Linked DNA regions of Drosophila melanogaster. The protein of the gene in region 3 interacts with the protein of the main gene of each other region in a pairwise test. Each region holds a gene or a part of one and is shown on either strand. Other genes may lie near its edges.

Evidence for each region.
Region 1: the proteins of CG5390 (region 3) and CG14089 interact in a two-hybrid assay, tested with the Drosophila melanogaster proteins (one large-scale study listed by BioGRID).
Region 2: the proteins of CG5390 (region 3) and smal interact in a two-hybrid assay, tested with the Drosophila melanogaster proteins (one large-scale study listed by BioGRID).

The regions. Positions count from the first base shown.
Region 1 is NT_037436.4:19,279,570-19,282,439, forward strand, and holds CG14089 (uncharacterized protein), read right to left. Parts: upstream 1,232-2,870; coding exon 557-1,231; 3' UTR 551-556; downstream 1-550. Other genes in the region: CG14086 (uncharacterized protein), read left to right, coding at 1-64, 129-255.
Region 2 is NT_033779.5:6,177,456-6,182,182, reverse strand, and holds the start of smal (smoke alarm), read right to left. Parts: upstream 3,051-4,727; 5' UTR 2,484-3,050; intron 1-2,483.
Region 3 is NT_033779.5:10,303,523-10,308,603, forward strand, and holds CG5390 (uncharacterized protein), read right to left. Parts: upstream 3,073-5,081; 5' UTR 2,990-3,072; intron 1,988-2,989; 5' UTR 1,984-1,987; coding exon 1,627-1,983; intron 1,561-1,626; coding exon 1,305-1,560; intron 1,248-1,304; coding exon 640-1,247; 3' UTR 547-639; downstream 1-546. Other genes in the region: nmd (no mitochondrial derivative), read right to left, coding at 1-76, 133-314; CG4968 (uncharacterized protein), read left to right, coding at 3,523-3,597, 3,672-3,971, 4,036-4,449; Cdk5alpha (Cdk5 activator-like protein), read right to left, coding at 4,812-4,953, 5,026-5,081.

The DNA.
Region 1 (2,870 bases), on a different chromosome or scaffold from region 3:
GCACGCTGCTCCGATTCAGCGCCTCGAAGGAGGAGGGTCTCCTGCCGCAGTGCGACTTTGAAAAGTGATGCCAGCCAACGAATGTCTTTGTTATTTGTTTCTAATGTCTGTTTGTTCTGCGATGATAGGGTGTCGAGCTTTGTGGATACCATGGAGGATGATTTCGCGGAGATTGGTGCCACGCAAGCGGGATTGGATGAGGAAGCGGAGGAGGAGGGCGACGACCACACCGCCCTAGACGACGATGTTTGCTAATAGTTTAAGCCAGCTTTTCTGCCTAATGTAATGTGAGATTTTAAACGACTTAACAAATGTCTAATAATATACAGTTTGTAAAGAGGTTTCGATTTAAACGCTGAGTGCGTGGTATATTTTTATAGGTAATCGATAAACCCACACTTTGTATGATTTTTGGTGTCATTTATAAACGAAGCCACTCAAAAGTCAAAAAGGACATTCTTCAAAAGAATTTTGAAAGTTCCTTTTAAGTATTGGGTATCTGCTTTTTACCTACAGAAATAATTATCAAAGCTATTTCGTTTTAAATAATGTTATTTTAATTTCGTCTTTTATTGTTTTTTGTGCTAAACGGATTTCTGCGTTCACTAAAGGCCAAAATGAAGGGCTGGTCGTCGAATTCTTCGGTTTTTCTCAGACCAAAAGAACGCTCATTGCCGTAATCATACTCGTCCTCATCATAGTAGTTATAGTAGTGCCTCTGGTGGCCTTTAGGGCCTCCATGTCCATGTGATGGAGGAGGAGGAGGTGGAGGATACGGATACGGTGGATATGAACCTCCGGGATATCCAGGAGGACCCTGAGGACCAGGTTGGCCAGGGATTCCAGGCATCCCGGGGTGGCCCTTATCTCCACGCGGCCCCTTCTCGCCGGGATCACCCTTGGATCCTTTGGGGCCGGGATAGCCCTTCTGCCCCGGCTGTCCCGGTGGACCAGGTGGACCTGGAGGACCGGGCGGACAACCGCATGGCTGTGGCTGAGGATACGGATACGAATAGCTTGGCGGATAGTGTGGCGGATGATAATGTTGATGATCGTGATCCTCCTCTATGATCACTTCCTGTGGCGGGGCTGGAGCGGGACTTCCAGTTTGGAGGGTGATCAGCCGGGGCACTGAGGCATCATCCTTGGCGAAAACTCCCCCAAGAACAGACAGTAGTGCCACCAGCAGAATAGTCCAGTTCGCAGAGAGAACTTCCAGATTCGACGACATGCTGTGAACTAACGAAAATCAGATCGCAGTCACTTCTTTTATGTGGATAAATGCGTTTGAAAAATGGCAACAGAGGAGAATCATTCAAACTCCCGTTAAGATAGCTCATTTGAGATCTATATGTCTTGTCTTACGATCGCATTATATTTGTATCGTATGCTAATTTCTCTTGTTTAATAAACCAAGCCATTTATTTATAAAGTATCTGATTTGCATAATATTCAATGAATGAGTTGAGTTTTTGGGCTGATGAAAGAACTTTCACACCAAATGGATGTCGGACTTTGTGATCGAGCCATGAAAAGTGAATTCTCGTATTCTAGGATAGATCAATTAACAGGTATATGTATATCATTTCTGCGCGTAAAAATAACATAAACTTTTACACAAATTTCATATGGAACCAGAGCAATGACTGGTGGTGACCGAGATGATGATTTTTACATTTAAACGGAAACATTAACCATTTTGAATAACTAATGTGTAATTTGCTAACACCTGAGATACCACCTGTCCGTCCCTGTGAAGCACAAAAGAAAACACTTTCGAGACATGCTAAGAATGTCTGTTCGCAATTTTATTTAACTGTGGCTTCTTTATTATTCTTTTGTAAGTGTAAAGTGGAACTCATGATGACAAGAGCCCCGCCCACATAAACCTCAACAAATTTCTGGTTTTTGGGCAGATCTCATAACACTTTTTGCATACTCACGCTTCAGTCTAAGTCATTTGGATTTGTGGACATTAGTTATGTTCGAGAAGTTTCTGTTTTTGTTAACATATGTATGTAAATAGTTGTAACTTTTAAAGTTCGTTTTATTTGTTGTTTTGCTTTTGTTTTACACATGTTTGCTATGCAATAAACATATTAAATAGTTTCTTTAATTATAAATTTACTTTGTTTAACTATTATTCTCTCTTATTCGTGTTTTCGGTCGGAAAACGTTGAGGTAGCTGCGTTTGCAATTAATTGTTATAAGTAGCTATTCGCTTGTTTATATCCCTGATATAGGCTATTTAAGGTTCTGTTGTGGATAAGAAGAGCTCAAATTGTATTCATTATTATTCAGACAATACATAGATAATTGAAAGAATCAACCGAAAAGGAATAACTAAAGTTTATGTTTATTTTATTTTGTATATATATTTATATAATATTACGATAGATATATTACGCATCAACATATACATAGAAAATATTCAAATCGTTTAAATTAAAATTAAAGCATATAAAAAATCAAACATTAGAAGAATATCAACAATTAAGAGAAACAAAAGTTAAGGCTTGTCTGCTGTGTCTGATGGCTAAAAGGGGTTTTTCCGATCGGGCTACAAATATCATCGGATTGGAGAATATCCTTTTTGACTGCGAATAGTCAAAAGGTAGCAAAAGTAAACTCGAGTTGACTAGATAGTGGATGGTGGTTAGTTATAGTTAACTTTTGACATGGTCTCTGTGCTCGAACGGATCTGCTTTTACCGAACAAAAAGTATTAAAATGGTGCTAAGCTCATATTCAGAACTGTGATTAATGGCAATTAATCTTTTCACAAAACTGATTCATTTAAATCATCATGATACATTATCTGGCAGATACACAATCTTAATAGCCCGATCCAACTGGCAATCGCTTTCGCAT
Region 2 (4,727 bases), 4.1 Mb from region 3:
CACAAGAACGCCAGTGTATAAAAACTAAAAAAAAAAACCAACACTGGCCATAAAAACCCAGCCAAACGAAACTAACAAACAAAAATGCGGAGTGGCAGCCACGAATTAGTGCTCCTGGCGGCATTTATACCCCTGCAATCGAAGAAAATGTGGCACCTGTGCGCCGTCTTGGCATCTGTGCCTCCAGTTTTCCCCCGTATCTGTATCTGTATCTGTGTACTTGTATCTGTATCTCACGGAATGGTGGCTATGTCTTTTGTGCGCCGCCTTCGGTTGGCGAGCCAAACAAATAAACTTGCGGCCAAGTTATGACAGTCGAGGGCCGCAGGAAACATTATTCTTAGTTAGATGCTAATTAATTAGGGGACGCGGAGGAGTTGGAGTCTCCGCCAGCAATTCGGTGGCAGCCATGTGGGCAGCGACACGATCTCGTCGAACCAGCGGCAAAAAAAAAGCCCGAAATGCACACGAGAATGACACTTCTTGGGTATAAATTTTGTTGACTGTTGTGTTTGCCAGCCCCTGAAAAATGACCTGGGGGATGCGATGTGTACAGAATGAGGTTAAATGGAAGTTGAATTCGTTGAAGAAGACACTAATATAAATTGCCGCACGTCGGTGGAATTTTACTTATTTAAAGAAGAAATATACCTTGGCATTTCAAATTAAACTTAAATAGTTCAAATGCGACTAGCTGGCTGTTATATTGCCATCGGATTTAATGGTCTAATTAGACATTTTATTATTTATTTTTGACATTGCATGAATGGGCTTTGTTTAGATTTTAATGAAAACAAAGTTTAATCAATGCTGTTTAAATGGATCCTTATTAAAATTGCAGAAGAACATGGTAAATATTGTTGCCCCATTTCCATCGTAATCCCAGCTGACAAAAGAAAATATTTTCCCCCCAAAAATTGAGATACACATTTTCATTTCGTTGGTAGATGGTTGCAGGTAAATGAAAGAGATGTGTGTTTATGTACAAAATAAATTCATAATAATTCCCATGAATTTCCAAGCTGCACACTTTGTATATTTATAAATATAGTTTTATACACCTTTTTTAATTCCACAAACATATTTCACATTTTATTCAACGCAACGTTTGAATGAATAACGTATTTTTCGGATTCAGTGGCAATGAAATAAAACTAGCGATTATTGCATTTCATAATTTCATTGCTAATCAATTTTATCACTTTGCTGTCTTAGTATTTTAGTTAGATTTGAATAAAATATTGAATACAACCTGTTAATGGTAGCTATGTGGATGCATCTATGAACTTCGGTGCTTTAAATTCTTTCACGCACATCGAATTATGGGTTTTAGGCGCAGTTTAAAGCAGATTGGGCAAATCTGCGGCAAATCTGTTGTTCATTGGAGGCATACTCAAACGTCTCATTACCATAATATAGCCAACTCAATTCCGCCTGGGCCCACCAACTTTTTCTACAATGGCAATAAAGAGTTCCCCTCGCAATCGACCACGAAAAGTTTTTTCAGCGGTATTATCATAATGATTGCGCCCCAAACGGCGCTTGGGGCAGATTGAGGGACTCGCCCGCCTGCTGCCAACTTGTTTACACAAATTTTAATTGGTGTAATTATGATTTTTACACGAAATTAATTATGCATGCGCGATTGCGGCTGCATCTTCGCAGCTCGCGGTAATCGCTACCCATCGGATGCCCAATCTCAATCTTAAATTTCTAAACCATCCCAAGTGAGCAAGAAAAATAACTCGAGTTATTTACAAAAGCTGATGATTGCGGGGGGAAAAAGCGAAAGCGAGGTCTCTGGAACTTTAATTGCCAAACATACTTCTACTTAATTACCCCGCAGAACAGCGGGAAAATTATGAAATCCAGGGGCCTCGTTGCGCGTCTAGCGGAGTGTGAAGTTGCCAAAGACTCGAGGTTGAGGTTGTACTGCGGAATATCTAGATACATAACTGCATCTGCGAGATAAGAATCTGTGTGCAACAGCCGTCGGAGGCACAAAGTGTTCGGAGAAAGATCTTTCTTTAGGAGATAAGGGCAGTATCTTAGCGTTTTACGACCTGCCGCCGCTTTTCTTCTTCGCTTCTTATTTATAAAATACAGCAGGTTAGTTTGATTAGCCCCAGATGTTGACAGCTTGGCTCTTTCTTAATTTGTGTTTAATTAATGAGGCAAGGGGACAGCCACCGTAAGAAATGGGGAGAACGGGTTGGAAATGATATCTTTTGATCTCTGGAATGCGCCTTGATGAGATACATTTGATTGGGCCAATATTCTTCTGGTTTCTTTTCGGATAAATGAATTATTTAGTTAGTAATTGACATAAACTTGTTTTTGTCGCACTAATTGATTGTTTGCAACTCAATATTTATTTATGCATTGCAAAGTCTCTATGGGGAAATCCTGTTTATTGACATGATTGCTTTGAGCATTGAGCACTGATTGTTTTCAAGTTAGGCCTTTCTTCACTCTCAACTCACCTAAATATTCCAAGAGTTTTGAATTAGCCTTTGCGTTGACTTAAGGTGTATATTGATTGTATTCCGTTTGCACTTTAGTTTGTAGCAAAAAACAACGATTTCTCTACTAAAATTTCAAGCACTGTTGTTCACTGGGGCAGCAAAAGATACTCTATCTGCTGGTTTGTTTCGATATGTTTGAGCACTCCGTGGGCATTTTCTCAGGTAGCACATTTCACACACTTTGCCGCACGCTGCTGGCGGCCGCAGGTGCACAATTGCCGCATCTTGGGTGCCACTTGCACCGTATCTTATTCCTGACCAATTCGTATCTCTGCACTCGCGCTGCGCGGATTGCGTATCCGTATCTGTCGGATCTCTTGGCGATTGGCTGCCAGCCGATTAAGCCTGAGATGGGTAACTGCGTTGATTCGCGACCGCGTTGCCAGTGGCCAAGGCGTTCTGTTCTTCTTGTCACGAGAGCTGGATTGAGACTGGGGGCACAAACTGAGACTGAGACGGCGGACTGCGACAGCGACTGCGACTCTTGTAACGCGCGGCACGAAGGTCGACGAGCGATTGAATCCGATTGAATGTAACGTGCAGCGCACCACTCCGTTGCATGTAAGTGTGGATGCTAAGAGAGCGAGCGCTTCTCTTTTGTGGACTCTGTTCGCTCGTCGGTGGAACTGTTTACAAAGTTTATGTGTGGAGAGCGCTGTAAAGGACCTGCAAGGATTTATATTATCAAATTAACATTTAAATCATAATTTGGAGTTGTTTCTATGTTTTTGTTTCCTTAAAACTTATCATTTAAGCTACAGTATAGTTTATATTGTATATGCTGCGCTAAAAACTAAGTTTTTCAATTCTCAGTAAAATTATCCACAATGGAGTTGAATTTACCTGCCCAGGCCCAGGCACTTCACCTGTGCTCTGTGAAAATCGCCGAGAAACTCCAAATCCGATAGAGTTTTTCCGCTCTCTTCCGGCTCGTATAAGAGATTTCCGTCTGCGGCGAATGTGGAACAAAACAAGAGCGAATTCGAACTGTTGATTTGTTTTTACCCTCCCCGACTTTTCCTTTCGCTCGCTTTTTCCGGCGAATCCGCCTTGCAGTCCAAATTGGAAATGGCGGACCGCCGCCAATCGCGGCCTCTGATGAATTTCCAATGATTGACGCCGGCATTAAGCCGAAATCGCACATACAACTTGTCATAATTTCCAGCAGAGAAATGCGATCTTGTCACATTGGTGCACCATATCATATGGACATGTATGATTTACGAACTCTACGGTTTTCGTGGGGCATGGGGATTTATAGCTACGCACTTGTAGATTGTATCGCAGAGGTTGTGGGTTGATTGATTGGTCTCACCAGTTGATCCGACCCTTTGTTCTTCGCCACTTTCGAATGTTTGACTCGGTGACACAATTTCGAGGGGCCCACAACGAATTCCTCGAGTGGATCGCCGCTAATCAACTGATATCGCTCCGGGCCAGATCGCCTATCGAAAAGCGAACAGCGTTTGGAAAGGCGTTATCTGGAAACCGTAACCAATTTGTATCATATATGGTGACTGTTTATGAAAGCAGTACTTCTTCTGTCTCTTTGTCTGTTTTCTTAGTTAAAAAAAAAAAACATGTTTTTTGTCTTCTATTTTATGATTACAGACACCCAGAAAGCTATGAATTGGATATTAATTTAAAAATATATACAAATATTCTGCAAGATTAATGTAAATGTTATTGACAGGACAACTCCAGCAAATCAAACATTCTGTCTTGTAGTCAATTTAACTTTGTACGTAGTTTTATTCGATAGACTCTTTGCATGTTCCTATCAATTGGCCATTTGTCACATCCGAGTGTACAAACAAACAGCAGACAGCAGAAGCATTGCCAACTTCCAACCATAACTCATACCCATTCCGGCCAAAGCCGTTGGGCATGCGCTGTCTGTCAAACGGCTTGTTCGCCTGCCCGGCAGTCAAAGAAATCAGCGGACGAGCGGATGAGCGGCGGCCAAATGGTTATGATCAGGAATTTACACAAAAATGCATTCAGCGCTGCTAATAGATATACAAAATACATACATAGATAGAACAAGCAAATGTTGCGTTATCACGAGTAAATATTTACATAGCCTTCAAGGACTCTGTGAATACATCAACCCCATGCTGCGATACTGGCATAGTATCTTTTGCCACATTTGTTTATTGTCCCAGACCTTTCCCACTCCATAAAGTATTTATAGATACTGAC
Region 3 (5,081 bases):
AAGATGTGACGCAATCATAAGCTCGTAGTCGCTAAACTCTTGCCCTCTTAGCTTGAAGCCCTCCTGCTCGGCTAGCCTGCATGGAAAAGGTTTACACATGTACAATATATGCTATATGAGTCTAATATAAACCTCTTAAGCTGCTCCTCAGCCAGAACTTTGGCCTTTTTCTTGTTTTTACTGGTCGGATCCATCTGGTTCATCATCCATTTCACCGAATAATATGTGATCAGCGAGGCCACAGACAGGCGAACCAGTACCTGGAATATCTGCCCCTTGCTTAGATCCGATCCGCCCAGTCCGAAGTTGTCCATGTTTCTGCAGATATTCTATTTAGAGCAAATACGTTGGCCTGCACGAATCTAATCTTTCTTGTTCTTATTCCCCATGCACACCGACGACAGTGTGACCAGGTGCTCCGACTGAAATTGACATCGATAAGCTCAAAATTGCTGCCAACTGAATTCAATTTTTGTTAGCCTATTCCTTTTCCACTGTTCCGAAAATATTTTTTCAGCTTAAAATAAAAAGATTTTTTTTTTTTTTAATTTTGAGTATTAACATATTGGGCATATATTAAGTGAGAGCATTGTGAAGCATGAAGATTAAAACCCACAAATTCAAGTGACAATTTTGCTCTTAGGGTGTATAGTGCCTGGGGTCAATACTCCAAATCTTCAACTTGGCGTCGATCCACGGACGAAGCTTGGCCACGCTGGCGTACACTCCGGGAATGTTCACCTCGCCGCATCCGATGCCCCAGGCAACAATGCCGGCGGACTTGAAGCGGTTCTTCTGGCCAGCAATTGGACACACCAGTGGGGAGCCACCATCACCCTTGCAGGTGTCCTTGTCCTTCTCACCGCCGGCGCAAATGAAGCTGTCGTGCAGAATGAAATGCCTGCCGAGTCGAGTTTCGCGCAGATTCGTCTCGCACTGCTGCTCGGGCACCACGGGCATGTCGACCTTCTTCAGGATAACCTGATATTCCCCATCCTTGCCGAACTTGTTCTTGCCCCAGCCGGTGGCATAGCAGCGATCGAAATCGAATTTATCACCCACATTGGGCAGGCAAACGGTCTGAATGTTCTCCTGGAGGGTGAATGGACTTTCCAACAGCATGACAGCCACATCGTTATAGAGCGATCCCTTGTTGAACTGCTCATGGTAGATTATTTCCTTGACATATCGGTCTTCGTGCCTTCTGATCTCAGTCTGCGTTTGCGTATCCCATTCGCCAGCTCTCACTAAATGCCAGTTCATAATTAGATCTCATAGATGGCATAGATGGCATGTACACTTACCAACAATGCTACTGGGCTGTTTGTTGTGAACGCAATGCGCCGCGGTCAGAACCACATTGGGAGCTATCAATGCTCCTCCACATTCGTACAGGTTAAGGTTGCCTTCTTCCCGGAGAATGGCCAGCATCCAGGGGAATTCGCCGAATTCGGCCTCCTGGTTGACAGCTCCAGTGATCTTAAAGCCAACGCCGTTGGGATTTTGGTAACCGCAGCCCTCGGGATGATCAGGCTTAAACTCGAAAATCGGATCTTTTCTCTTAACAAATAAAATTATAGTTTAATTTAAGTAATCAAAGCTTATTGGTATTTATGTATGTGTTACCTTGTTGGGCAGATCACAGCAAAGATCCAAATAGTTCTTGCATTCGGCGTCCGTACCAAGTCGAATGTCAATGATACCATCGCCACTGGTGTTAATCGTATCATTGGCGCACAACCAGCGAGGAACACACTCCTTTTGATCGCCACAGGACTGGTACTGCGTTGAACTCGATCCTCCGTTTTCGGATCCCGTGCTACCGGACGAATCCTTGGGGTTCACCACTGGCGGGGGAGGGGATGATGGTTTGGGTGTTTCGTCCGTTTTAAAGATGTCCGATATCAATTTGTCCAAGGAAGAGTCCTGGGCACCACAGGAAAATATGCACAGGCATATTACTAGGCAATTTAGTAATATCATATTCCTGGAAAGCAAAATTAAATCATGCTCTTTACATATTTACATAATTAAGGTCAGAAAGCTCACTTATTCGAGGAAAGAGATGAAGATGAAGGTAAGCAAAGTGAGTAAAGCTCGAGTATTGGTAATATAATAATGATTGTTATTGCTGGAATATCGCACTTAAACCGGATAAAAGGTGAATGTGATTCCCCCAAAACAGAGTGACACATTTTAATGGAAGGGAGACGCGGATACGAATACGTTTATGTTTATGCGGCGAACAATTAACCTAATTAACTCTAGAATGTATTGTCTTATCAGTGAGGCTTTGCTTTCTTTTTTGAATACTAAAATTCCGAGCAAATATATACATATGTACGTATTGTTTCTTTTAGATCGCCTCATTATCAATCCTGATTGCTTTTTTGTTTAAATATGACTTTTGGCGATAAGAAATGCTAATGTATTGCGGTGGGTCAATTTTCGCTGTCAATAAAAACAAAGCATGTATAATTACTTTAAAACACAAAAATAGTTTCTTATGTGTAAGCGCAATCCCTCCATTTTTCGCAAGAGTTAATAATAAGTTATAACACACTAATTAATTGCCATTTACACACAAAGGTTCACCATTTTTGCTAACAATATGTTCCTTGCAAATAAAATAGGGCAAAAACTGGTTTTAGTTTCGAGTAAACTTAGCATTATACAATTCTTCTTCATTAACATATATAAATGTATTCCCATTGCCGCTGATTTGTGCTCATAAAAGTACGTGAGGCGGTGATATTTTGTACACTTTATTCATTGAACTTTAAGATCTTTTTGATTGATTAAAATATGTATATACACATGTACATACATATATGGATGAAAAATGTATTGTAGATGTTACAAGACATAGAAACCACCAAAAAGATTAAACTCTATCAGATATCCACATAACTGAACTACACATTTTCAATAAATTGAATTTGAGTCCAATTTTATTTAGTATAAAGTGTACTCTATTAGTAAGACTTACTTAATTTATCAAAGTAGCGCAACGTTCGCTGAGCAATGAAGAAAACACTCAACTGAATTGATTTCTTATTCAATCTTAAGTCTCAGCCGATGATCTTCTGACGAGAAGCTTTGAAAGCTGGTTCCAATTGAAGTTCCCAGCTTACGTATTACACAGCGGAAAACCAGTTCAAAGTTTTATTTTATTTTATAAATTTATAGATAATAAACATACACAAATTATGTACGTATATTTGTTATTAAAAACCGTTTTAATGGTTTAGCGTGTTTGTAAAATGCGATTTCAAATATTTATTTATTTTTATTCTCGAGCCAAGGAACAACTGGAATTGAAGCCCGATAACGATAGCTGTGCGACAAAATCGAAAGCATCAGTGTGTCCGTGAGTTTCGCCTCTAGACCTGTGTGTGTGACATTTGATGCGCCTACACATACATATGATGAACAGGAATTCTTTTTAGTTCATCAAATGAATACAAAGTAAAGTAAATTGAAAGGAAGCGCCGATCGCAGTTGTTCAGTATTCAGAGAAACATGGAGCCGTTTACCCATAATGATGGCAATCGCGACGAACTAATAATTCAGCAGAAACGGGATATTGAAAAAGAGGTGAGTCTGCAGAAACACTTACACACAATAGCGACAATGAACCGAGAAATAATGCCGAATTTCAATAATTGCAGATCAGCGACACAACTCCCTTGGTCAGCGAGCAGTTGCCACTCACCTGCTTGTATGCGGAATACAGTGGCGACGAGATCTTCACCGCCAAGATCCAGGATCTGTCCAAAAAGTACAAGTTCATTCGCCGCACCCGCCCCGATGGCAATTGTTTCTTCCGAGCCTTCGCCTACTCCTACTTGGAGTACTTGATCTCAAACACCAGTGCCTACCAGGAGTTCAAAAAACTGGCCGAGGAGTCCAAGGAGAAGCTCGTTCAGCTGGGATTTCCTAGTTTTACATTGGAGGACTTTCACGAAACGGTATGTTTAGCCGTACAAATGCAAAACGAATTCCCTATGCTTATGCAGCCTTTTGTATGTCCAGTTCATGGAAGTCATCCAGCGCGTTAGCCCCGACAATGCAGGAGGACACAGCACGGTCCAAGATGAGTTGCACAAGATCTTCAATGAGCAGGGTTACTCAGACTACGTGGTGGTTTACCTACGTTTGATCACCTCGGGAAAACTGCAGGAGGAGGCCGATTTTTACCAAAATTTCATCGAAGGCGACCTCACCATTGAGGCGTTCCGCCATCTGGAAGTGGAGCCGATGTACAAGGAATCGGATCACATCCACATAATCGCTCTATGCACCGCCCTCGGCGCTGGAGTTCGTGTCGAGTACTTGGACCGTGGCGAAGGTGGGACTGTGAAGGCCCACGATTTCCCCGAGGGAAGCGAGCCCCGAATTTACCTGATATATCGACCAGGCCACTACGATATACTGTATCCAAATTGAATTGCTCTCAGTAGTTTCTAGATTACGAAACGATTTATGTATATAAGATGTATAATAAACTACCATTTATTTGCATATATGGTGAATATTTTCCTTCTCTTTTGGTTCTGCATAAGATTGAGATTGATTGATTAGCCCAGCAATGGAAACACAGATTTTACACATATCGTAGATGTTAATTTATTTAAACACTAATCTTTATTATTTGATTTGAACGATTGTGATAGTGACATAATGAAATTGTCTAATGTTTTATAAAATATTAAGTTTTATTAACGGTACTTCGCCATCATTTCATCCGGAAATTTCTGGCGATGCGCAGACAATGAGAGGTTGACAATAATCTCCCGGTCGTCCATCCGTCAGGCGCCTCCACAGTATGATTTAATTGTAGGATGATATTGACCACAAGATTTCAGCTCAGTAAAGACTTCGGTAAAAAATCCCGGCTCAGCATTGATTTTAAGCATTTTATCACTTAGCTTGTTCACAATGACGAGGCACCTGTATGTTACATTAAAGATTAAGATGCAGATGGAAAATATTTCATTGAAATTAACTTATTATTTGACATACCTGTCCCAAAACTTTTCCTTCGAGTCTTCAACCAAAAACGGTTTGAGTGGATAACT